Rattus norvegicus: one gene and its partners. The protein of the gene in region 3 interacts with the protein of the main gene of each other region in a pairwise test. Links are inferred from orthologs where the notes say so. Each region holds a gene or a part of one and is shown on either strand. Other genes may lie near its edges.

The links.
Region 1: the proteins of Trim63 (region 3) and Uqcrc1 interact in a two-hybrid assay, tested with the Homo sapiens proteins (2 studies listed by BioGRID and IntAct). The link is inferred for Rattus norvegicus from reciprocal best matches to the Homo sapiens genes TRIM63 and UQCRC1.
Region 2: the proteins of Trim63 (region 3) and Mybpc3 interact in a two-hybrid assay, tested with the Homo sapiens proteins (2 studies listed by BioGRID and IntAct). The link is inferred for Rattus norvegicus from reciprocal best matches to the Homo sapiens genes TRIM63 and MYBPC3.
Region 4: the proteins of Trim63 (region 3) and Usp13 interact in a two-hybrid assay, tested with the Homo sapiens proteins (2 studies listed by BioGRID and IntAct). The link is inferred for Rattus norvegicus from reciprocal best matches to the Homo sapiens genes TRIM63 and USP13.
Region 5: the proteins of Trim63 (region 3) and Pdhb interact in a two-hybrid assay, tested with the Homo sapiens proteins (2 studies listed by BioGRID). The link is inferred for Rattus norvegicus from reciprocal best matches to the Homo sapiens genes TRIM63 and PDHB.
Region 6: the proteins of Trim63 (region 3) and Tnnt1 interact in a two-hybrid assay, tested with the Homo sapiens proteins (2 studies listed by BioGRID and IntAct). The link is inferred for Rattus norvegicus from reciprocal best matches to the Homo sapiens genes TRIM63 and TNNT1.
Region 7: the proteins of Trim63 (region 3) and Tcap interact in a two-hybrid assay, tested with the Homo sapiens proteins (3 studies listed by BioGRID and IntAct). The link is inferred for Rattus norvegicus from reciprocal best matches to the Homo sapiens genes TRIM63 and TCAP.

What each region holds. Positions count from the first base shown.
Region 1 is NC_086026.1:118,467,061-118,471,022, reverse strand, and holds the start of Uqcrc1 (cytochrome b-c1 complex subunit 1, mitochondrial precursor), read right to left. Parts: upstream 2,801-3,962; 5' UTR 2,799-2,800; coding exon 2,730-2,798; intron 2,502-2,729; coding exon 2,361-2,501; intron 1-2,360. UniProt on the Homo sapiens protein: Component of the ubiquinol-cytochrome c oxidoreductase, a multisubunit transmembrane complex that is part of the mitochondrial electron transport chain which drives oxidative phosphorylation.
Region 2 is NC_086021.1:97,549,908-97,553,860, forward strand, and holds the start of Mybpc3 (myosin-binding protein C, cardiac-type), read left to right. Parts: upstream 1-1,153; 5' UTR 1,154-1,183; coding exon 1,184-1,208; intron 1,209-2,189; coding exon 2,190-2,456; intron 2,457-3,014; coding exon 3,015-3,131; intron 3,132-3,211; coding exon 3,212-3,319; intron 3,320-3,405; coding exon 3,406-3,554; intron 3,555-3,882; coding exon 3,883-3,953. UniProt on the Homo sapiens protein: Thick filament-associated protein located in the crossbridge region of vertebrate striated muscle a bands. In vitro it binds MHC, F-actin and native thin filaments, and modifies the activity of actin-activated myosin ATPase.
Region 3 is NC_086023.1:151,823,736-151,827,235, reverse strand, and holds part of Trim63 (E3 ubiquitin-protein ligase TRIM63), read right to left. Parts: intron 2,644-3,500; coding exon 2,410-2,643; intron 647-2,409; coding exon 624-646; intron 319-623; coding exon 194-318; intron 1-193. UniProt on the Homo sapiens protein: E3 ubiquitin ligase. Mediates the ubiquitination and subsequent proteasomal degradation of CKM, GMEB1 and HIBADH.
Region 4 is NC_086020.1:117,609,943-117,613,442, reverse strand, and holds part of Usp13 (ubiquitin carboxyl-terminal hydrolase 13), read right to left. Parts: intron 2,221-3,500; coding exon 2,136-2,220; intron 1,378-2,135; coding exon 1,284-1,377; 3' UTR 1-1,283. UniProt on the Homo sapiens protein: Deubiquitinase that mediates deubiquitination of target proteins such as BECN1, MITF, SKP2 and USP10 and is involved in various processes such as autophagy, endoplasmic reticulum-associated degradation (ERAD), cell cycle progression or DNA damage response.
Region 5 is NC_086033.1:19,181,655-19,185,588, reverse strand, and holds the start of Pdhb (pyruvate dehydrogenase E1 component subunit beta, mitochondrial precursor), read right to left. Parts: upstream 2,801-3,934; 5' UTR 2,474-2,800; coding exon 2,432-2,473; intron 2,359-2,431; coding exon 2,305-2,358; intron 1,029-2,304; coding exon 921-1,028; intron 828-920; coding exon 765-827; intron 674-764; coding exon 638-673; intron 261-637; coding exon 1-260. UniProt on the Homo sapiens protein: The pyruvate dehydrogenase complex catalyzes the overall conversion of pyruvate to acetyl-CoA and CO(2), and thereby links the glycolytic pathway to the tricarboxylic cycle.
Region 6 is NC_086019.1:78,355,535-78,359,034, reverse strand, and holds part of Tnnt1 (troponin T, slow skeletal muscle), read right to left. Parts: coding exon 3,494-3,500; intron 3,052-3,493; coding exon 2,938-3,051; intron 2,418-2,937; coding exon 2,308-2,417; intron 1,655-2,307; coding exon 1,564-1,654; coding exon of another isoform or gene 1,464-1,563; coding exon 1,423-1,463; coding exon of another isoform or gene 1,198-1,422; exon of another isoform or gene 1-1,197. UniProt on the Homo sapiens protein: Troponin T is the tropomyosin-binding subunit of troponin, the thin filament regulatory complex which confers calcium-sensitivity to striated muscle actomyosin ATPase activity.
Region 7 is NC_086028.1:83,876,851-83,879,674, reverse strand, and holds Tcap (telethonin), read right to left. Parts: upstream 1,670-2,824; 5' UTR 1,645-1,669; coding exon 1,535-1,644; intron 1,345-1,534; coding exon 951-1,344; 3' UTR 501-950; downstream 1-500. UniProt on the Homo sapiens protein: Muscle assembly regulating factor. Mediates the antiparallel assembly of titin (TTN) molecules at the sarcomeric Z-disk.

The DNA of each region.
Region 1 (3,962 bases), on a different chromosome or scaffold from region 3:
CGGAGTTGGGGACTGAACCCAGGGCCTTGCGCTTGCTAGGCAAGCACTCTACCACTGAGCTAAATCCCCAATCCTGCTTCTACTTATAAAGTGTGAATTTTAATATTCTTTTATGTTTTTTTCTTTTTTGAGACAGGATGCCATATAGCTCAAACTGGCCCTGAATACATTCTATAGCTGATGATGAACTCCTGCTCCTTCTGCCCACCTCTCAAGTACTAGATTGCGGGCATGCGAGCACTGTGAACAGTTTCCTGACGAGCTGTGAAACACGCTACTTACCCACATGGCTGAGCTTATCTGCTCACAGCTAACTGTCTACCACATGCTTTGCGAATAGATGCTATACGCCAGTGTGCAGGATAACTTCAGATAAGCATGCCTTTTACTCTGTGTGTGAATGTATGTGCACCTGTGTGTAAGTGTGGGCGCCTATGTGCATGTGGTGGCCAGAAGCTACACCATATCCTTCCAAGCTGGAGCCTCAGGCATTTGCAGGACTCTCAGCTTGTTACCTGGGTGCTGGGATGTGTACTCCAGCTCTTGTGATTGCACAGCCAGTGCCTTTAACCACTGAGCCATCTCTCTAGCCCCAACAGTCCCCTGACTCTTAACATCTTAGATCACGATCCACAGTATCCTTCGACTTTTAAACGACACCATCTTTTCTCGGTAACGGAAGCATAATCAGTTTGTGGAATAGAGCATGATTTACTAAGCTTCATTAGTAGGTTTTGAGTCTATTCATGTAGGTTCTACATGTCAAGGAATTTATATCCTGTGTTTATAACAACTTTATCACAAGTCATTATTTGCTCCTAGAAAAAGAATCAGACAAAAACATAACCCTAGACAGGCAGTGGTGCACACGCCTACAATCCCAACATCCAGGAAGCAGGGACAGGCAGATCTCTGCGAGTCTGAGGCTAACCTGACCTACACAGACTGCCAGAACACTAGAGTGCAGGGTTACACAGAGAAACACTGTATTGAAAAACAACGAAACAATTTAGCCCTACTAAATGTCTTGGGAGGATTGGTTCTTGGAGTTTTCTCACCTAGTAAACACACCTAGTAAAGATTTCAATTCTTGACTCCATTTTGAAGATTTCTAAATTCTATGTTCACTATTTCATATGGATGAGTGTTTTGCCTGTGTGTATGTATATGTGTGTGCCTAGTGCCTGTGGACGTCAGAAGAGGGTACAGGATCCCTTGGGACTGGAGATATAGATGGCCGTGAGCCACTGTGTGGGTGCTGGAAATCAAAGCCAGGTCCTCTAAAAGAGAACAAATGCTATAAACCAGACTCAATTCTCCAGCCCAATTTGCAATTTTGAATAAAATATTTGAGTTTGTGTGTACGTATCCCAGAAGGCCAGAAGTGGGGAAGGCTAGAAGAAAGTGTCTGATCTCCTGGAGCTAGAGTTACAGGTGGCTGGAAGTTGCCCAATAAAGACGCTGAAAGCAGAAATCTGGTCCTCTGTAAGAGCAGCAGCCCTCTTAACCAAAGAGCAAACCAGTGCTCCAGATTTGCAACTATTTTTGGATAATCATCCAATTCAATGTAATCTTCAAAAGCATTTTTTTTCTTCCTTCAGTGCTACGTATCAAGCTCAAGGCTTTATACTCACTAGGCAAAGGCTCCACCCCAGTTAATTTCCCAGTCTTTCAGAGGCATTTATTTTCTGTGTTCAAGTGTAGCACATACACATAGATACAAATATCTATGGAGGGCAGAGGAAACTGGGTGCTGTCGCTTATTACTCTACACCTTGTTTTTTTACTTTTGAGGTAAGCATTGAAGACTCATGCCTTTCTTTAATCCCAGAAATTGGGGAGCAGAGGTAGATGGATCTCTGAATTCAAGAGGTCAGCTTGATCTACAGAGTGAGTCCCAGCACAGCCAGGACTACACAGAGAAACCCTGTCTTGAAAAAAACATGAGGAAAAAACTAATTTAATTTTTACGTATGTATACATGGGATGGTGAGATACTGTAGGGTTTAGGAGTTGCTCTTCCACAGGACCCAGGTTCGATTCCCAGCACACACAAGGCAGCTCACATCCACCTGTAACTCCAGTTCCAGGGGCTCTAATGTCCTTTCCGGGCCTCCGTGGGCATTATGCACAGACATGGTGAACATACACACATTTGAGTAAGCCACTCATACAGGTAAAAGTAAGACCAGCTAGACACACTTGCCGCTGTGAAGTCAAGTCAGAATTGAAGACTGGTACAGGGACAAACCCGGCAGTACTCCAGTCTCCACCCAAAACACGTAAGACTGCAACCCAAGGTCACATCCCAACCTAGGACAACACGGCGCGCCTCATCTGGAGGACTGGCAAACACTCACCGTGCAGGTAGGATGCGAGGACTGCTCCGAGGCCACACGCAGCCCGTTGTCCAATACGCTGACCTGTGTCTCCGGCACGCTCTGGAGGGCCTGGACGAAGGTTGCGGTACCCCGCAAGGCAGGTAGCCTCAGCAGGGCCGGCTAAAGGAAGAAGGTGACCACTGTAAGAACTGCTCTCCAAGCCTCTGGGACCTCGACTCTCACATCCAAGCCCGAGAAGATACCCATCCCCGCCCTCCGCCATGACCTTCCCACGGCCCTGACCCCCGCGACCTCCCCACTCAGACCCGCCACTGCTGAGACAGCCTACTCCTCATCTGCGTGCCAAAGCCCTGAGCCCTGCAGCCCAACGTCTCGCTGCCACCTCACCGAGCGGCAGGTGCGAAGTAGCGCTTGCGTCCCAGAGCAGGCCGCTCGGCAGACTGCGGACGCCGCCATCTTCTAACTTCCGTCAGCGTAAAGCCGCGCTACGCATGCGCAGGGTGGAGTATGAGGCGCAGGCGCTGTAAGGAAGAGTTGGTGCTCGATCGCCCCCTGCTGGGCATCAAGTCCATTGGCAAGAATTAATCGCATGTTGTCGTTTGGTCCTTGTGCCTCTAAGAGAACCTGCGACTGGCTGGCCCTTAGACGGTCCCATTCGTCGCCTTCTTCCACCTGAGGGAGGCGGTGTGCAACTGCAGGAGATGTAAGCCAGCAGCAGCTCAGAGCCCTGGAGGACAGTGGCTCAGCACACATTAAGCCCAAAAGCTGAAGCACTTTTCTGTCTGTGCTCTCTGTGCTAGAAGGTGTCTGGGAAGAGGAGACAAAAAAGAATAAGGAGTTCAAGGACATCCTCTCCTGTGTAAGGAGTTCAAAACTATCCTGGGCTATGTAAGACAGTGTCTCCAAAATGTAAGAAAAAAAAAGTGTGTGTGAAAAGAAGGAACCGTGTAGAGGTAATTTGTGAAATAGGACTCCTTGTTTGGAAAACAAAAACTAAACAAAAAAATGTCTTTTCTGTATTTGTGATTATTTCAAAACATTAAAAAAACTATCTGAAATCAGACAAACAATACTTAGTGTATATTGACATTTTGTGGACCAGAAATATGATTTAGAGCAGAAAATAAAGTGAAATAAAATCTTTTAAATTGCTGGATGTGGTAGTAAATACTGATAGTCCAAGTACTCAAGAGGCAGAGGCAAGTAAGCCCTCTGAGTTCCAGACCAGCCTGGTATTCACAGTGAGCCAAGGATATCCAGCGAGGGCCAGCCGCAAACACACAAAGAAAGAAACAAAAGACAAACCCTAGTTACCTGCTTCTTTTCTCGGAGAGAAAGGGTCATGTGTAGCCCAAGCTGGCCTCAAAATCACTTTGAAGCCTAGGATGACCTTGAACTTTTCTGGTCCTTCTACCTCCCCCTCCCAAGTAATAAGATCAGAGGCAAATAAGTGCCACCGACGGACGGGCTTCCCTGGTGCTGAGGGGTAAAGCCTGGGTCTGGTGAACATTAGGCAAATTCTGCCAACCGAGCTACATCGTTAGCTCTCTTTCAGCTTCCTGAAAAACGTGAGTTTTTAGTTTAAGATTATTTTATCTACTATGTGTGTGCACATGATGT
Region 2 (3,953 bases), on a different chromosome or scaffold from region 3:
ACACACACACTCACACGCACACACCACACACACATATACACACTCAGACTCACACACCACACACACACACACACACCACACTCTCAAACACGCACCACACACACAAATACACACACACACACCACTCTCAAACACACACACATGCACCACACACACAAATACACACACACACTCACACACACCACACACACATATACACAGACTCACACCACACACACACACACACACACACACACACACACATGACTTAGGAGCAGGTGATGTGACTTTAAAGTAACTAAAATTGGGTGGAAATCGTGGCTGATAAGTTCCTATTGAATGGAAGATGCTTATATATGGGCTTCCTCCCTTCTGGTGATAGGCTATCTATTCTACTAGTGTGGCTTGATGGGGATTCCCATCATTTCTTTTTCCCCCCTAACAGTGGATGAACCTGACGCATGAGGAGTATCAGGAGGGTCCAGTCACAGAACAAGAACAGTGGGGTGGGGTGGGGGCTGAGGGATTCAGGATCCTCCCCATTTATCTTCGGTTCATCCTCGTGACTTCAGTAAGAGCTCTCTCTGCTCCTGTCCTCCACTTTGGAGTACATTTAGAGATTCACCCCCATTCCCTCATCTGCAGGCTTGCCTAGCGCGTCCCTTGGTGGGACAGTAACTCCCAGCATTATTCCCTCCCTGCCCAAGCCTAGACCAAGCCCACCCAGGATTCCATGGTCCAAGGCCAGCCCATGCCCCTCATGGTGCAGTAACGTGTGCCAAAGCTCTGCCGATCAAAAGAACAATAGCAGCTAGCTAGCCCTGGACACCTTCGCCCCCAGCGCATGTGCCCTTGACCCTTTAGCTGTGGGTGTCACAGGCCAAGAGCCCCTCGACAGTATAGTTTTCCGCTGGGTGGATACACAAAGGTCGGCCTACCTCTGAGGTCCACGGAGGATTGGAAGGGCAGAAGTTATTCAGTCCTGCTGGAAGTGGGGGAGGAGAAGCCGGAGGACCAAGTGGCCCTATCTTCTCCATGAAGATACCTCAGCTGGATGGAATTTGTCTATATTTAGCAGGTGGCTAGCAGGAGGCTGATAAGCAGGGCTGGGGAGGGGGTAGTCCTCATAAATAGTGAGAACACGGGACACTGTTCAGTCCCTCCGTGGGTGGCCTGCTTGGTGCGCCGTGTGACTGTTCTCAAGATGCCTGAGCCAGGGAAGAGACCAGGTAGCTCCACAGAAGGGGTTGGGTCTGGACCTGGGGCAGTGGTGTGCATGGCTTGCGGGTAGGTTAGGTACTGGCATAGGATGAGGCCTGTGGGTTCCAGGAAGGGACAGGACAGCGGTCCTCTTTGGGCTGTGTCTGATTCTCTGCTTCTTTTCCCAACCCTCTAAAGAGGTTGAGGATTAAATTCAGTGTCAGGGCCACTGAGAGATGACTTTTCTAAGTTAGGAAGAATCCAGGGTCATTCTATTCGGACCTATGCTTTCTTTTTCAGTCAAATTCCAGAAGTTCCACGTAGGTTGCAGTGGAGGCAGTCCACTGAGTCCCTGAGCACCTTCTGGTCTCAGTTTCTGAATGTACTGAGTATGTGGGGGTAGTGATCCGTTCCAGCTCTGAGTGTCTGCCACATGAGCCGGAACCCCTAGGGTCCTCACATCATGCCTGACTCCAGATATGGGGTGACAGAGCCTCTCTTCTCTTGACTAGAACAGGCAAACGAAGGACAGAGAACCTGCAACCAAAGGCCTGAACCAGGCCCATACCCTTGCAGAGATCATGGGGGCAGGGATCCAGTCCCCAGGCCCTACCTCCAGCCCCCCTGCTGCTCCCAGGCTAGTGTTATCTCAATTGCTCATTCTTAGTGTGAAGCCCTCAGAGGACAAATTTAGCTATATTCCAAGTAGGCAGCTGGGGCCCTTGCCAAGGGTCCCACAATGGGAGAGGAGGCTGGGCCCATCGCTGATGTTCCTAGTCAGGAGGGTAGGAACATCTTGTGGGGTGGTAGGGACAACATCCTGAGCTCTATCATCTGTCACTTAACCTCTCCCTCACCTGAGAAATAAATATGGTTGCACCTACCCCATAGAACTCCTGGAGCATTAAACAAGAGGCTTGGAGTGTGCTTACCACAGTCTTCTTGAAGGAGGGTGTCAGGGGTCAGGTACCAGGGAGCCTGGCTCCTGCAATTTCCATCTGACTCTTCAGTGTCAGCCTTCACCAAGAAGCCCAGGTCAGTGGAGGTGACCGCAGGCAGTGCTGCTGTGTTCGAGGCTGAGACGGAGCGGTCAGGCCTGAAGGTGCAGTGGCAGCGGGATGGCAGTGATATCGCTGCCAATGACAAGTATGGTTTGGCAGCAGAGGGCAAACGACACACACTGACAGTGCGGGATGTGGGCCCTGACGATCAGGGTTCCTATGCGGTCATCGCAGGCTCCTCAAAGGTCAAGTTTGACCTTAAGGTCACAGAGCCAGGTAAGGGCTTGCTGACCTCTCCTCAGGGCCCAACCTGATCTTCAGTCATAGCCCTGAACAGGGAATGGACTCTGGGCACTGGCCTTTGCCCTGGCAGTGCTGTAAACCAGAAATGCCTGTTCCCCTCTTCTGCACCAAGATCTCTCTAAGCATTAGTTGTGGCTGCAGCTCTTTCTGCATTGTGGGGGTGGGAAACCATGAGCGGTGTTCTAGGAAGGGCCCTCTCCCATAGCAGACCCGGAGTCTGGCCACACCCAGACAAGGACTTGGCTAGCTGTATGTGTTGGTGAGGAGCTTGGTGGTGCTGGGGGTGCTGGGTCAAGGCCAAAGCCTGGAAAGGGACAGCAGATGGATCGCAGGGCTGTTCAGAGCAGAAATCTGGACATGGGACAGGTGGACTGTGAAGGTTGGAGGAGCAGCAGGCTAGCTCCTCTTCTTGGAGTGAGACCAGTGCCTGAAGGAGTCTGGGGCACAAGTGGAATGCATTTTAGGTGGGACATAGGTCTGATGTCCGAGAGGGGGGCTCTGATTAGAAACCGTTCCATGACCCCACCTAAGCCCCTCCAGAGAAGGCAGAGTCTGCAGTTGCTCCAACCTCTATGGAAGCTCCAGAAACTCCCAAAGAAGTTCCTGCTCTAGCCACTCAGTTGGAAGGAAATGTCTCAAGTCCTGAAGGTAAAGGGGACTGGACAATGAGGGACAGGCCAGTGGGTGGGGAATATCCCAGGACAGACCTCAAAAGCCTTCTTTCTTAGGGTCAGTCTCGGTAACCCAGGATGGCTCAGTCGCAGGGAGTCAGGGAGCCCCTGACGACCCTATTGGCCTCTTTCTGATGCGGCCACAGGATGGCGAGGTGACCGTGGGTAAGTGGGAGCTTCTGTGCTCATACTTGGGACGGGGAAGGAAGCCCCAGGGCAACAAGGTCAGAGAAGTCACCTTTCTCTTGCAGGCGGCAGCATCGTCTTCTCAGCCCGAGTGGCGGGAGCCAGCCTCCTGAAACCGCCTGTAGTCAAGTGGTTTAAGGGCAAGTGGGTGGACCTGAGCAGCAAGGTGGGCCAGCACCTGCAGCTGCACGACAGCTACGACAGAGCCAGCAAGGTGGGACACAGGGCACGGAACTATGGAGTACAGGATGTAGGGAGGCTAGAAGACTGGGAAGCAGGGCAGAGCTGCAATGGTCAGCCACACCAGCCGCACACTGCACAAAACAGCTCCTACGTGTAGCCATCTGCTTGGAATTTTATCGTGGCCATGCGCCAGCAAGAGCCCATCAAGGGTCTTGAAAGGTGGATCCTTTCTGTGAGTTATACAAAGGCTCTGTATGTGTTAGCCCTGAGAGGTGAGGCGGGCAGGCTTTGCCATGCCCATTCTCTCTAGAAATGCAGGGCCTCTCCTTGCCCAGACTTCCTCCATCCCCTGCCCACAGGTCTACTTGTTTGAGTTGCACATCACAGATGCGCAGGCCACTTCTGCTGGGGGCTACCGCTGTGAGGTGTC
Region 3 (3,500 bases):
GCGTTCCAGACCATCTTGGTCCACTTAGAGAATTCTAAGACCGACAGGGCTCCTTAGAGAGGCCCTGTCAACATTGACTGCGTAAATCTGGCTTTTTTAAAATATGAATCTGCTTCCGATCAGCGCTCAAGAGGAGCACTGCCTTTCCAAGGTCAAACATGCACAAAGCAAGTAGCACAATCATGTCCTTTACCTGTCCCAAAGTCAATGGCCCTCAAGGCCTCTGCTATGTGTTCTAAATTCAGAGTAAAGTAGTCCATGTTCTCAAAGCCTTGTTCTGTCTTCCCCAGCTGGCAGCCCTTGGAAGCTTCTACAATGCTGTGGGGGAGAGAGATAGGGTGAGGTCTCGGGCTGCATACAGGAAGGGACAGCTTAGCCTTGGCTCTATGTGGGTCCGTCCCAGTCCCACAATCCATCCCTGAAGTGAGGGGATGAAGGGGCAGAGGACATTTCTTCTTTAGGGTCAAGCAGAGTGGATGATCTAACAGAGTAGGGCACATGGTCTGGGGTGAGTCCCGATCCCCCCCGATCCTGGCAGAACTAATGCACAGGGATCCATTGGGCAGGTGTCAGAAGCCCTGAGGGGAACTAGGGACACAGGCTGTAGTCCTGGGAACACTGACCTCTTGATGAGCGGCTTGGCACTCTGTGGAGAAAAAGAACAGAGGTTAACATCGAAATTCCAAAGGATAGACTCGAGGTACCATTCCATGGTACAGGCGTAACTTGAATCCTGCCCTGTTAAATAGAACTCGGACATTTTCTCACAGATCTTGGCCAACATGAACCCCAGTCTGTTTCTACTGTCTGGGCAGGAAGCCAGGGTTCTCTGACCAAGCACTCAAAATGTCTGAAGTCTCCTGGACGAGAGTCAACCAAACTTTCTTCCATGGGTTGGACAAAGCTAGACCATAAGAGCTTGAAGGCATATATTCTGGGTATTGTAGTTTTTTTAATATGTTTTTAAATTTTTCTTGGGGGCTGGAGAGATGGCTCAGTGATTAAGAGCACTGACTGCTCTTCTAGAGGTCCTGAGTTCAAATCCCAGCAACCACATGGTGGCTCACAACCATCTCTAATGGGATCTAATGCCCTCTTCTGGTGTGTCTGAAGATAGCTACAGTGTACTCACATTAAAATTGTCTTTGTATGCATGTATGTACTTATGTAATATATGTATGTGTGTATCTATGTATATATGTGTGTATATACATGTATGTATGTGTATGTAATGTATGTATGTGTGTATGTATATATGTATGTATATGTATGTGTGCATATGTATGTAATGCATGTATGTATGTATGTGTATGCATGTATGTGTATGTATGTATGTGTATGTATGTGTATATATGTATATATGTGTGTATGTATGTGTGTATGTGTGTATGTATGTATGTATGTATGTATGTATGTATGTATATGTATGTATATGTATGTATGTTGCAGCCCCTGGAGGCCAGAAGAGGGTGTCAAGTTCCACTGCTCTTGGGATTATGGGTATTTGTGAGCTGCCAGACGTGAGTTCTGGGAACCTAACTCAAGTTCTTTGAAAGAATAGTAAGCACTCTTGACCCCTGAGCCATCTCTCCAGCCCCTCTGGGTTTTGCTGATATTGTTTAAAAGACCTATTTTTGTTTCAAGTGTATGTATGAGTGCCTGCGTGTGTGTATGTGAACCACATATGTGCCTGGTGCCCTTGGAAGTGAGAAATGGGCATTGGGTACCCTGGCACTGGAGCTATGGGTAGTTGTAAGCCACAATGTGGGTGCTGGGAACTGGACCCAGGTCCTTTGTAAGAACAAAACCAAAGTGTTATTTTTCTTTGTTTTGTTTTGAGACAAGTTCTCGATATTATGTAGCTCTGGTTGTCCTGGAATTTACTCTGTAGACCAGGCTGGCCTCAAAGTCACAGAGATCTGCCTGCCTCTGTCTCCCCAGTGCTGGGATTAAAAGTGTTCGACATAAGACATGTTCTTAGCCGTAGAATCATCTCTCCTCTCCCAATATTTCTTATGTTTGTTTTTTTTGTTTATTTATTGACAAGGTCTCACCATGCAGTCTTGGCTGCCTGGAGCTTGCTCTATAGACCAGGCTAGCCTCAAACTCACAGAGATCCTCTTGCCTCTGCCTGTGTCTTCCAAGTACTGGGATAGCAAAGTCGTGTGTCACCAAGCCTAGCCTGGCATGTTTTATTTTGAGATACTATTCCACCAAACTGTCCTGCTTTCCCCTGAACTTGGAGTCCTCCTGTCTCAGCTGCCCAAGAACTGGGATTATTTATGGTCAGGAGCCTGTAGTGACCGGAGATGCCTGACATTTCACCAAGATTTAAACAGCCCAGGCCCATTTGAAGATCAGGAAAGAGTAATAGTTCAAATCTACCCAAACCCTTCAGATTCCAGTCACCAAGAGGAAGGTGGCCCCTCCGGGCTCATCCAGGGACTGGATGGCTGTTTCCACAAGCTTGGTCGACTTTTCCAACTGCTCTCGGTACTGGAGGATCAGGGCCTCGATGAAGTCCAGCTTCTCCTCCTGCTCCTGAGTGATCCGCTGCAGCAGCTCACTCTTCTTCTCGTCCAGGATGGCGTAGAGGGCGTCAAACTTGTGGCTCAGTTCCTCCTTCACCTGGTGGCTGTTTTCCTGAGGACAGAAATCCTACAGTCACATCCCATGAAGTGCCAACCCACTTTCTGAGTCAGAAAGGGCCCCAGGGACTCTCTGCAGCAAGGCAAGACTCGATCGCACACGGAGCAAAGCTATCGAAGAGGAAAATGCCCGCACCCACAGAAGGCTGAATTGGTGCAACCTAGTGAGACCTGGTCTTAAAAAGTCGAATGGGCTTGGCAGTGGTGCCTTTCGGCATGAGATACCTCTCAGGGTTACAATGGTCCTCTCCACTCCACAGAGCAGTCCACTTGTGGTGATGATGGATGGCTCTTCCCCAACTTACCAGCTCCAACCCTCCTCAAGAAGGGACCAGGTTTTTTTCCTTTCTTTTCTTTTTCTTCCCTCCCTCCCTCCCTCCGTCCCTCCCTCTGTCTGTTCTGTTCTTTTCTTTTTCTTCCCTCCCTCCCTCCGTCCCTCCCTCTGTCTGTTCTTTTCTTTCTTTCTTTCTTTCTTTCTTTCTTTCTTTCTTTCTTTCTTTCTTTCTTTCTTTCTTTCTTTCTTTCTTTCGAGACAGGGTCTAATTCTATAACCCTGGCTGGCCTGGAGCTCTGAGTTCAAACTACAGAGTGAGTTCCAGAACAACCAGGGTTACACAGAGAAACGCTGTCCAGAAAAACAAACAAACATCAAATCAAAGGCAGAAAGACAGAAAGAAGACCGGAGAGATGGCTTGGTGGTTAAGAGCACTGCCTGCTCTTCCAGAAGACCCTGATTCAGTTCCTAGCACCTTTGTGTTGGCTCACAACCATCTTGGAACTCCATTTCCAGGGGATCTGGCTCCCTCTTCTGGCCTCCTCTGGCACTGCACACACATGAGGCACAGATATGTG
Region 4 (3,500 bases), on a different chromosome or scaffold from region 3:
TGATGAGAAGTAGTAAGAAAATTATGGAGAGCTCTGGTTCCTCTCCACTGCACATCCACAACTCTGCTCTGATCTCAGACCACAGCTAGGACCCGGAAATGACAAGGAAGGAAGGCCCTGGCTTTGCAGCTGCAACAGAGGTGTTTCTGCAGCTTGCATCCTTAAAGCGCCCCAGGTTGTACCATGGGCCACAGCAGATAGGCAGTGAGGGCAGAGGTGAAGCTGGCCCCAGAGAAGCAGAGATGTGAAAACACAAGGAAGTTCAGGGACCAAAAAAATCAGACAAGCCACAGGCATCTAACGTGATCCCAGGGAGTAAGCAGGAGCTTGGGAGGCCAGTTATTTAACTAAAACTAAACACAAAGCTTTGAGGGAATGCCCTACTGAGGAAGAGATCCCATCTGCCCTTGGCAAAGCACAGTGACAAGACTTAGGCACCTGGCATCAAGGTCAAACGACACAGACCCTCATGAATGCCAGACAGCACTTAAGGGGCCACAGCTCAGCTCTCTGTACTTTAAAATCCAAGTGGGGAACTCACTTTTAACAATTGTTCCTGAGTTATAATTTTTAAAGATGTTTGCCTGCCTTTTCCAAATATGCCTAAAAGCAGCTATTTGGCCTTTGAACACCAATCCATCAGACGTACAGCAGACTACAAAGGTCTCTCTCTCTCTCTCTCTCTCTCTCTCTCTCTCTCTGCCTCTCTCTCTCTCTCTCTCTCTCTCTCTCACACACACACACACACACACACACACACACTCATACAGTGTAATATAAAGTTTGACGTGATTTAAATTAAAAATAGCTCTCACTGCAGATGTCCTAGTGTGCACAGAACTTACTGTGGGAAATGAAAACAAAGTGCCACCAATAAAAGCCAGTCCAGGTTTTGATTTCCTATGTGGAAAAATTTTAAAAGTGGGCATTTTTCTCACTGTGGGGGGCCCTCACTGGTGACCCCCCCAAGTAGAAGAGAGGGGAAGACAGTGCCTCTCTGAGGGGCCGGTGGACAATGCCTTTGCTTCCGTCACTCTCTCCCTGAAGAGTTACAAAATCTCCCAGGACAGAATATCACCGCCAACAGAATTTTCTTCCCAGTTCTTCTCCAGAAGGCGTCGAGTGACCACGCTCTTGAAAGGAGCAGTAAATACCCATGTAGTCCTCCGCATCCGGCTGTCCCAACTTTTTTCCTTTATTTTTCCTTTTTCTTTTTTTTTTTCTTTTTCTTTTTTGGCAAATTATAAAGGTGTATGGCTTCTTCTCGCCAATTCTTGTGAGGTTTAGCTTGGTATCCTGCGGTAAAAGTACATATATCCCAGGTCTTTGGGGGGCCTTTCTGAGGCACAAACTTTGTGGTCATTGTAGATCACCCATCTGAAAACACAGAAGTATGTGTGGGTTTGTGTCAGCAATATCCCCATGGCAGGAGGAAGGCACTGTACACTGTGGAGGGGAGTCTCCAGTAACTCAGATGCTTTAATGTAAGGCCAAAACACAACATAAAAGGAACAGAATTTTGGTAAAGAACCACCCCCACTCCCACCCCTGCCAGGACAGTGTTTTTAACCCCAGGCTGGCCTCAAACTCCATAAGTAGCATAGGATGCCCTTGAACTGTGCACCAGTAACTGAGTAGGAAGCCCCAGTGTTTGTGTTTGTTAAACAGTTGAGCATACAACATGTCAGACACACGTGCATGCTTATAACATTAGTACTCAGGAGGCCGAGGCAGGGGAACTTCAAGTTAAAGACCAGCTAAGACTACAAAACAGGTTCTAGGCTAGCCTGAGCTACACAGAGACTCTGGTTTAAAAAGCAAAGGTGGAGGGGAGGAGTATGCCTCTTCAACCCACTATGAGAGGCTGCATGGTGGTACTCACCTTTAATCCTACCCAGCACTACGGAGGAAGAGGCAGTGGATATGAGTTCAAGAACAGCCTGCTCTATAGTGAATTCCAGACCAGCCCAGGTCTACATAATGAGTCCCTGTCTTAAAATAAGACAAAACAAAACAAAACAAGGCAAAGCAATGTAGGAAGCAGAAATAACATAAAAACACCAGTGCGATTAGTAAAGTGGCTGAGCCCAGGAGGCTGGACAGCATAGCTATCCACTACCTTCTAAAAGACTCACCGTCCCTCCTTCTTGATATGGCAAACATAATGGCCACTCATCGTAGATGTTCCCATGTGACTGATGAACGCAAACAACTCATACACTAGGGAAAGAAAACAATGCCGTTACAAGGCAGCAGTTGGGAGCCAAGCACGCTTCTGAACAGAGCCTGGGGCCAACAGGAGACTGGCTGACTATGTAGATTCACCATGCCATATCGATCACACACACTAGAGCACACACACAATATGGCAATGCACGCATGTACATACACACACATGCACACACACACATTCATACACACGTTCAGATACACACACATTCATACACACACACACACACACACACACACACACACTAATATGGTATGCCGCTATCAAAGTACAGCAAGCACTGTTGTGTGTGTGTGTGTGCACATACGCATGCACACATGCGCATGCATGTGTGCTTGCAATCCCAGAACTCAGTAGGCTGAGGCAGGAGAATGCTGAGTTTAAGACTCTAACTCAAAAATAAAAAGGAAGAAAATGAAGTCAGAGCATAACCCTGAGATTTGTACATTACTCTTATTTCCAGCAACCTTACAATGCCTGCTTGTCAGCTCTAAGGCTATCAATAGAGTCATTGATTTCCACATGCAGGACCATGTCACCTAGGTACTTTGTACTGGGTTGAGAAAGCTTCCTTTACCCCTGGTTTGCTGACTGTTTTCCCTCAGCCTTACCATCTCAATCAATGGCGATCCCAGTCTTCTAGTAACTTATGTCAAAAATCTCGATTAGCTCTCTCGCTCCTTATATCTTGCCAAATCACTAGTAAACCCAGTCACTATGTCCTTCAAAATATATCCAGAAGCCAGCCATCGAAGCCTTCTCCACTCATCCCCCTGGCTCCAGGTCACCAGGGCCCTACTCAGGACTGGTTACAAGTCCCCTAACTGATTGCTGCCCCTCCCTTCTCCCTGACAATTTGGACTACTCTGGGCATGGCTCCCAAAGTGGTCTTTCCTATCTTTGTTTATTTGCTTGTTTGTTTTTGCTTTTAGTGGACGTCAAACTGTGGTTGTTATTGTTCCCAATACCCTCTGGTGACTCCTACAGAGCTCCAGAACCTCTGATTCTTGCAACAGTCTATGAGATGCCCTGACCTCTTCCCATCTTTCCCATCACTTCACTAAGTTACTCTGGCCCCGAGTAGGGCCTCAAGCACACACAGTGTGCTCTGCCCTCAAGCCTCCACACCTACTGTACCTTCTAGCAGCCAACGTTTTTCTTCAATCCTCACATGACTCAAGGCCTCTGCTGTGACCCAGAACCACCCACCTTATAAACCCTCACCTATCTCCCACCTCATGCCACTAGGGCTGTTGCTTCACCCTGCTTC
Region 5 (3,934 bases), on a different chromosome or scaffold from region 3:
TTAATAAGTCCTTTCGCATCCTCGGAATTCCAGGGGCTGACCACTTTCAAACCGGGGCAGTGCCCATACCACGCAGCGAAGCATTGCGAGTGCTGAGCAGCCACGCCCGCTGAGGCGCCGTTGGGCCCCCTGAACACTATGGGCACCGGCTGGAGGCCAGCAGACATATAGTACGTCTTGGCAGCTGAGTTTATGACCTGGTCAATAGCTTGCATAGAGAAATTGAAGGTCATAAATTCACAGATGGGCCGCAGCCCAGCCTGTCAAATGGAAAAGTCGATGTTAAAAAGACTAAACAGAACAAGGAAGAGTGGTAAACAACCAAGCAATCCACTCCTCTGACATCCGGACAGCACGGCTTGGGGTTTGTCTGTCTGTCTGTCTGTCTGTCTGTCTGTCTCTCTCTCTGTTTTTTTGTTTGTTTGTTTGTTTTTGTTTTTGTTTTTTTGAAAAAGTTTTCTCTGTGTAACTCTGGCCATCTGGAACTTACTTGTGGTCCAGGCTGGCTTGAACTTAGAGATCTGCCTGACTCTTGAGTGCTGGGATTAAAGGCAAACACCACAACACGCAGTGCAAACAATATTTTCAAAAGATATTAAGGAAATCTCCTTTGATAAGCATCATAAATATTACATACCATAGCTGCACCAACAGCAATTCCAGCAAAGCCCATCTGTAAAGCAAACAGCAAACTTTAGAAAAAGTCCATAGAAATTAAGACTGAATATTTGACCAGCCCCTCTCAGTTTGTCCAGAAGGCGTACCTCCGATATGGGAGTATCTATGATCCTCTTGTCACCATATTTCTTCCACAGGCCTCTGCTAACCTACAATTTAGATTTTGCCACATCACTTTCAAGTGGTTGTCAGGGTAAATGGCTACTTTTTAATTTTATATAAAGTTTATCTAGTTCAGTTACCTTGTATGCACCATCATACTGGGCAACTTCTTCCCCAAGCAGAAAAACCTTTTCATCTCTTTCTAGTTCTTCATCCATACCTTGATTAATGGCTTCACGAACTGTCAACTGTCACAGGTACATAAACAGAAAACACGCTACAGGATTATTAAGGAGACTACGGAAACTCCCTTCTTCATACTTATCTACGCTGCCCACAACATAAAACATAAATCTAACATTCATGCAGGCAGTCCAAGTTCCAAAAATGTGAGGAGGCAAGATGGCCAAGCCTGACGAGTCTCATCTCCATTTCTACGTGGTGGAAGGAGGAAACTGATTCCCTGGAAGTTGACCTCAAGTGCACACGGGCATGCTCACACACACAAAAAACTTATCATACAAATCAAAGCTCCAAGAACTTAACAAGTAACTTATGCCAATAATCTTTCACTAGATGTTAGTGATAAGCCTACAGAACACTTCTGCTGTACTGCTTGATGTGCACAGTCAAGAAAACCAAGCAATTGCTAAACTAGCTCGAAGGCAGTTTCCCATGTAGAAAACACGCCAGGCTGTTTTACCTATACCCTTGGAGCACTAAGACTCAGAGAACGAGCAAGGAAGGTCTAACCATGGCTACTAACTACGGCTAAGTTTAAGCATTCAGTAGTGTACAGCTTGACATCCACAATGCTGGTGCTGCTAGGCTACTAAAATATGTAGAATGGTAAAATCCTTCTAAGATATACATATGCCAAAAAGAAAAGAAGTGTGTATCTGCAAGCCAGTGTTCTCAGCACCAGAACAAATCCAAACGGTGGAAACAAAGTCACCCTTGGATGAATACATAAATAAAATGTACAAAGGATATGAGTCAATGTTTCAAAGGAACAAATTCTGATGTATGTATTCTACAATATGGTTGAACCTTGTTAAATAAGCCAGACCCCCCCCCCCAAAAAAAATCAAAAAATTCCACTTATATGACGTTCTAAAACAAGCAAACTCAAAATGTGCCAGAAAAGTACAACAGCGGCTGGCATAGTGTGAATTATCGTGTAAAGTTCTGGAGATTGACAGTGTATACAGTGAATGTATTCGATGCCACATTTGAACACACAAGGTTTTAAAGTTATATTTTACCACAATTCGAGGTGGGGGCGTAAACAGTCAGGAAAGCAGGTGGCTGTCGGTTAAGACTGCCACCGGCCTGGTGAGAATGGGTGCCAGTATGAGTGGCACCGGGCGGTGACAGAGCCAGCGCGAATCATCCGCAGGACGCGGCCACTGCCAGGGTCCGAGATGCCACTCGGCCTTGGGGCAGACGCGACCCCGATCTTTCAGGCCTGCTCCCGGAACCCAGGATTCCCTCCCGGCCTTGCCCAGAGTCCAGACCGGTTACCTGCACCGCCGCGGGCGCCGAGCGGTGGAAACGCCTCTTCAGCAGCCCGGAAGCCTGGCAGTGAAAGAGAAAGAGGTTCAGAAAGGGCACAGGGGATACGGCGGGTGCACCAGGGGCCGCTACTTACCTGCCGCAAAGGTCCCCGCACCAGACCAGCCACCGCCGCCATCTTGCCCGTGTCCTCTACTCGCAGCCGAATGACAACACAGAAGCGCCGCAGACCCCGTCCGGCGCAGCCAATGGTAGGGCGTGACACCTTTAGGTCCCGCCTCTGTTCGGCAAAGCCAATAGAGAATGTCAACTGGAGGCCCGCCTTCCTGAGTAAGCCAATAGCAGGGCAGTATTTCAAAAGCCCCGCCCCCAGGCTTTGGCAGGGTGAGACCTATGGCCCCGCCTCTGCATACGTAGCCAACGGCCAGTTTTGACGCCTGCGAGCCCCGCCCATCTAGCGAATCCTGGTCCTGCGGAGGTGACGCGAGGTTGCTGTTCCTCTCTGACCTGGTGCACTGGAGAGAACTTTGCAGACTGCTCGCGGTGGCTGTCATGCACCTAGCACGCCCTGCACTCGGCCCTTACTGCTGTCTGCTCACGTGCTAGGACTGAGTCAGTGTGGCCTGATCAACGGAGGCTGTAAAGACCTTAAGGCCCCTTTGCGGGCACTGCGGGCCTTGAGCAACACGTGAATCTTGCAACACATTGTATGAATGGGCGCTGTCAATTGAATGTAAACAATAGCTTTTTTGTGTGCACTAAGTGTCCACTTTGTGCCAGGTATTGTGATGTGTGTTTGATAAGTGATTGTAGGCGGTAGTATTCTCTCCATCCAGACGTGAAAAGGTGAGGAGTTTGTTCTGATCATGCTGAATTTAGATGGCTTACCTGGACCGTAGAAGAAGCCTGAAGCCTAGTTTTAACAGACCTAGAGACATTTGAGAATAGCTGTTTAGACGCTGCCCTTATTTTCTGCATTCAGTCTCATCGACTGTAAATGGAAAGATGGACAATGAGGTATGGGATTACCTCCTTCCAAAGCTCCCTGGTTAGGGCCATCAGGTGGTCATGTTGTAAGGTATGTCAAATATAAGTCTGCTATCAAAGAACATATAAACTTGTGTTTGGGACAAGGACTTCAAAGCCTCTTATCTCTCCTGCCATCAAAGACTTTGATGGAAATAGATGTTTTTGTTTTAACCCCACAAGACAGGGTTTTTTTTTTTTGTTTGTTTATTTTTTTTAGATTTATTCATGTATTATACATAAGTACACTGTAGCTGTCTTCAGACACACCAGAAGAGGGCATCCGATCTTTTTACAGATGGTTGTGAGCCACCATGTGGTTGCTGGGAATTGACCTCTGGAAGAGCAGTCGGGTGCTCTTAACCGCTGAGCCATCTCTCCAGCCCAAGACAGGGTTTTTATATGTAGTCCTGGCTGTCCTAAAACTCATTCTGTAGACAAGTCTGGCCTCGACTTACAGAGATCCATCTGCTTCTGCCTTCTGAGTGCTGGGATTAAAGATATGTGCCACCACCACCCGATCCATATTTTTTTCTTTTTACCACTGGGTATTTTTTATGGCATAAGTGTTTCAAATTTTATTTACTAGCAATTTTAATATTACATTCACTAC
Region 6 (3,500 bases), on a different chromosome or scaffold from region 3:
CGCTGGGGGATTCTGGGCAGGGGCTTTACCTCTGAGCCACACCCTTAGTCCCTCACTGGGGATTCTAGATCTACCACTGAGCCACAACCCGGCTGAGTGCAGCTCTCTCAGATAATGCCCGGTAAGTGGTTGGTGGTCAGGTGGGAGTTGACTTTCATGGGTTAGTTCACAGAGAACTCATGCAAACTTATAAGGGGTAAAAGAAGGGTTAGCTAGAGGTCGTGACATGCAATGGGGCTCAGGGAGGCTGGAAGAGTACAGAAAAGGCTAGAAAAAGAAACAGACTGAGCAGAAAGCATCGAAAAGCCTGGGCATGGTGGAACACATCAGTGATCTCAGCCCTGGAGGATGAAGCAGGAGGTTTAGGAAATGTTTGAGGACAATCTGGGCTATATAGCAAGAAAAAAAAATATATATATGGACTACAAGGAAGAAAGAAGAAACCAAGTCTTCCAAGACATCCTCTGAGTACACTCCATATGTTGTGGTGCACAAATGCCTGTAACTTAGCTCCAATGGATCCAAACCTTCTAGTTTCTGTGGGCACACACATATGCATACTTATACACACACACACACACACACACACACGCAGTCACACACACATACCCATACACAAACACGCATACAGATGCACACACATGTGTGCTTGCAAACATGTGATGCAAATATGGTGTAAAATAATAGATACTCAGAAAGAAAGGAGCTGGAGGGAGACTGAAACCTAAGAGCTGATAAGGAAAGCAAGAGGTTGTAGTGTAAGTCAATAATCCCAACATTCCTAAGGCCAAATCCAGAGGATCAGTAGTTCAAGGCCAGCCTCAGCTACCTAGTGATCTAGGCTACGTGAAACCTTGCCTTAGAAATAAATAAACAGGGGCTGGAGAGATGACTCAGTGGTTAAGAGCACTGACTGCTCTTCCAGAGGTCCTGAGTTCAATTCCCAGCAGCCACATAGTGGCTCCCAACCATCTGTAATGAGATCTGATGCCTTCTTCTGATGTGTCTGAAGACATTTACAATGTACTTACATGTAATAAATAAATAAATCTTTTAAAAATAAATAAATAAATAAACAAACAAACAAACAAAACAGCCAGGAATGGTAAGTCACGTCTACCATCCCAGCGTGCCACTGATTTACTTACATGTTCAAAGCCAGCCTGGGCTACACAGTGAGTTCCAGGCTAGCCTGAACTACCAAGTAAGACTTTGTCTTGAAATAATAAACAAATTAAACAGACAAAAAAGACAATAAATAAACCCACAAGAACAGATAAAGATAGGATATCTCGGGAAGCAAGGCAGGAGAGTCCAAAGGGGCAGCTGAAGGAGGGAGGGAGGGAAGGAGGGAGAGTGGGAGAGAGGGAAGGATGGTGGGAACAGAAGGGTTCGTATGTAGAGGTTAGGAGTGGCACTTACAATTTCTGGGCATGACTGATGCGGTTGTACAGCACATTGATCTGTGGAGCAGGAAACCAGGCTAGGTAGACACCCAGGCAGGGACCCGCCTGCAACACCTCTCACCCAGCCTGGGCCCCAACAGAGGCAGGTAGATCTCACCTCATATTTCTGTTGCTTCAATTTCTCCATCAGGTCAAATTTCTCCGATTCCAGCTGGTGGATCCATTCTGACAGCTCCTGGGCCTTCTCCCTGGCAGGTGGAGAAGGACCAGGATGCAGCGAGATCCAGCCTGTGTTCTAGGTCCAGAGAGGTTGAAACACCTACCCCAGGCCAAGTCTCTTTGGGTTTGGTAGAGTTGCTGCACTCTTGCTAAGATTGCAGGCTGAAGGTTTTAAAATGTGTGGCCACATTTCTGAAACGGAAGTTCCCAAACGGAAGTCTCCCAACGAAGAGAGAAGGATGTAATGGCTTTGAGACCCAGAATGAAAGCCGTTTGGCTATTACTTACATATTTAATGTGTGTGTGTGTGTGTGTGTGTGTGTGTGTGTGTGTGTGTGTGTGTGTGTGTGTGTGTGTGTAGTTTGGGTTCCTGGGACAAGATCTCATGTAAACTAAGCCTGGTCTCCAACTCCATATACAGCAGACGATGACTTTGAACTTCTGATCCTCCTGTCTCCTCCCTGAATGCTGCAATTCCGCCTAAATTCTGGAGGGGGCACTGTGGATACCAGACACTAAAGGCCACGCCAGCTACAGGGCAGCTAGTATCTGAGCGACATTTTAAACACAGAAGACAACAGTAGACCAGAAAAGTAGTGCCAATTGCCTGAAGTAACACAGCACCAAGGTTCAGACCCAGAGTAGCGCCCGTTGAAGCCTTGTGAGAGCCTCTGCGACCTACCGGAGCTGGTCCTCCCCCATGTAGTCGATGTTCAAGGGCTTTTTCCTCTCAGACAGGATCCTGAGTTTCATCTCCCGACCAGTCTGTCGCTTCCCACGCTTCTGTTCTGCCTGGAGGGGGAGGAATCGCAAACCAAGAGTGGAACCTGGAGGCTAAATCCACTCAGTGTCCTTCAATCAAGGTCAGTGCCTCCACCAGATGCAAGGAGTCTAGCCTCAGTCCTCCTCCCTCAGATTTAGAACTCCAGACTACTGCCCTCCTCCCTCCAGCCTCAGCCCTCCTCCCTTAGACCCAGGGGTCCAGCCTCCAGCTCTCCTTTAGTCCCAGAGCCCTAGGCTCCAGCCCCTCCCGACTCAGACCCAGAAATTCAAGTTCCATGCCTCCTCCCTCAAATGTAGGAATACAGGCCCCAGTCTTCTTCCCTAACACCCAGGCACCACCAGAAGGACATCGTGAACAGAAGAGGGACAGAGACAATGAGCAGGGTGTCTCCCTCACCTACTTTGTCATGTTATCTACAGTGACAGCTGCGCCTGAATGAAGTCCAGGCTTAGTCCCCCTCCTCAGGACCAACACTTTGAAGTTTCCCTTCCCTACTTGTAAATGCAGACTTCCACAGGCTAGACTCACCTTGACCAGGTAGCCCCCAAAATGAGCCCCCATGTTGGACAGAACCTTCTTCTTTTTGGCGTCATCCTCTGCTCTCTTCTTTGCCTCCTCCTCCTCCTTCCGCATCTTCTCCTCCTGTGAGAACAAAGGGGTTCACTCCATGAGGCCCTACAGACCTGAAGGAGGAAGATCTTAGTCTGGGTAGTTGATGGTTCAGCTCCACAATGAGTGAAGTTTGAGCCATGGAGGGGTCCATACCTTAACTTGGTATACAGTTCAGGCTAGCCCCAAATTTCACAGAAATCCTCCTGCCTCAGTGTCTCCAGTGCTGGGATAGTAGGTCTGAGCCCATCCCACCCAGCAAAGCTCAGTCTTTGTGCTATGGTTTGAGCCTCTTAATCCAGCCATGCCTGAAGTTGGATCAGCAGTAGAGTTTTTTTTTTTTTATTATTTATATGCACTGTTTGCCCTTCCGATAGGAAAATCTTTATGCTACGTGCTACAGGGACTTTCTGAGAACCACAGAGAGTATCATGGGAAATAAAGTATTCTTCTATACGGAAAGACAGACACCTACCGCCAGC
Region 7 (2,824 bases), on a different chromosome or scaffold from region 3:
CCCCTTCCATATTGTCCACAGATACCATTTAAACAAACCCTGATGCCAGCTGGCCTGCTGAACACTCCCCAGTGCCAGGAACTGGACACAGAAGCCAGGGCCGGGCAGTGGCACAGGAAGGGGGACCAGACAGTTACTCTGTTTACAACCCTGCCCCTGTACCCCACTCAGAAGCATGGAGTGTACCCTCTGGTTATGCCATATTTAATTCAAATGCTTGGCTGTTCCCAGAAGTTCATGGGAGACATTCATGCCCACCCCCAACCACAAAGAAAGAAAGAGAAAGAAAGAAAGAGAAAGAAAGAAAGGAAGAAAGAAAGAAAGAAAGAAGGAAAGAAAGGAAGGAAGGAAGGAAGGAAGGAAGGAAAGAAAGAAAGAAAGAAAGAGAAAGAAAGAAAGAAGGAAAGAAAGAAAGGAAGGAAGGAAAGAAAGAGAAAAGGAAGGAAGGAAGAGAGAGAGAGAGAGAGAGAGAGAGAGAGAGAGAGAAAGAACGATGCAAGCCTGGGACATGGCTGAGCGTTTATTGCAGTGCTAACAGAGGGTGCTGGGGGCCTGCCCTGCTTTCACCCTCTTTACATCCCCCTCCTTCCGGTCTCCAAGCATCCTTCCGGAGCATTCTACATCCTTCCTTCTCCTACTCCATCGCTGTAACCGCACAGGCGTGTTCCAGGGCCTCTCACGGGGCCTCTGGCTCTCAACAGAATCTCTTGTCCCTTCTTCTGGGGCTGAGGGTACTCAGCTCTCCACTCCTAGTGTCCACCATCCTTGTTCCCCTCCCTGTGGGGACCCAGGACACCTAGGCATCCTGGCCTCTGGCTCCCTCCTCCCATGGCCCGCACCTCTGGGCAAACTACAAAGCAGCCTTGGCCAGCAGCTCTCCCCCATCGTCCTAGGCAGGAAGTGCCCAGCCCAAGGCAGACACATCAGAGTCTGCATCGGTCGCAGTCATCTCAGCCTCTCTGAGCTTCCTGAGACATGGACCGAGACAGGGTACGCCGCAGGGGCCCAGGTTTGCTGACTGGCACCACCGGGGGAAGCTGCTTGGTGATCTCAGCCACGTCCTGGCGCTCCACGCACTGGCCGCCCAGGGCTGTCTCCAGGGCCAGCAGCTCCCGCAGCTGAATGGGGGTCTCCTCGCGTTCCTCCTTGGTGGCCCCCACCTTGGTAGGGGTGAAGATGGGTAGCGGCAGCACCCGCTGGTACGGCAGCTGGTATTCCTGCAGCCCACGGCCGAGGATACCCAGGCGCATCACCAGCCATGGCGAGCGCTGTACCACGGCCTGACACTGTCCCTGCCGGTGGTAGGTCTCATGCCTCTGTGTATCCTCCTCATGCAGGGAGCATCTGAAAGTGGAGAGATGAGGAGAATCAACTGAGAGCAGCTGCTCTCTGGTCTTGGGCTAAGTGGGGTCTCCCTGGGATGGCCAGGTCCCTGGAGCAGGGGAGGGGCCCCAGAAACTTCAGGGGCGTGTACTCTGCTATGTAGCAGGCATTTGGGGAGGGGGAGGCAGAATTCCAGATGATCCACACTCACCCCTCTTCCGGCCGGGTAGACAGAGTCAGGTCTTTCCACTCGGCCCAGAAGGCTTCCCTGCGCTCCTGGTTCTCCTCAGACACTTGACAGCTCAGCTCTGAAGTGGCCATTATTCCTTCTTGATCCCTCTGCTATGCCCTGCTCCTCCGGAGCCCTTTAAATAGCCCCCTTCTCCCCCCTCTCCCCCCTCTCCCCCCTCTCCAGGGGCTATTTTCAGCCCCTCTGGCGTCAGATGCTATAAGCAGAGCCAAGACTCACTGGTGGTGATGGGGCTCTGAATCCAGGGCGGGGGTTGGGGTACCCAAATTCTGATTGCTCTCAGGTCAGAGGTCAGCTTCCAAAGCCTGCGAGATGCTCTGCTGGGGGCCTGGGTCCTCAGAGTAGCACCTCCGGGTGTCTGGCATGCAGCAAACACCACCTCAGACCAGGCACGTGGGCAGCCTCGTGCCACCTTGGCACTGTCTTCTGCCTGCTCCCCCTTATTCAGGGAGGACAGCGGCTTGTCTGTAAACAGAACAGGAGAAGCAGGAACTGATGCCCCCCTCGCTCTGCCCCATCGTCTCCCCTTCCTGGGCTCAAGGGCACATACCATAGTGAGGTCCCTTGACCAGAAGGATCACGTAACCGAGTCTGTACAGAAAGCCTAGTTACTAACCAGCAGCACCGGGCAGGGGAGAGGACATTTTTGCCACACCCGACCCCTGGGTGTGGGCCCCCGTGTGCTTTCATTCCCAGAAGTGGTCTAAATACCACCAGTCAGGGTGAAGGAATCCGGAGTGGGAGAGGAGCTGCCCACATGGGGAGAAGCATGGTGAGACAGAAAGAGAGAAAGCGCACTGAGCAGGGTTAGGAGGCCCAGACCAGCCTCAAGCTGGCTCTACTTTATATAATCATGGAGCAGTGCCTGCCCCTTTCAGAGTCTCCCTTTATCTGCTTTTCTGGCCACAGGGGAATGAACCCTTGGACTGGGCAGCCCCACTGCCCTGTTACCTGGGAGGTGGGATTAGCTCTGTCTCATGAAGCAGAGGAAACAGATGTCATGAGATCGCCCAAGCATCCAGGGTGTAATTCATGGTACAAGAAGCTGGAGGCGAGGCTGGGGGAAGGGCAGGGGGCAGGAGGTGGGGGTGAGGAAGATAGGCGCTGCTGAGGCACTGAGGCACTGAGCAAAGGCCCTCGAGGCAGCAGCAACAGAGGCAGCAACTCCTAGGGACAGGAGAGAGAGCGCTCAGCTCCTGTCAGACTCGGAATAGCGCATTACTGAATCCTAGGCCTCGGCCCACGTTGTAT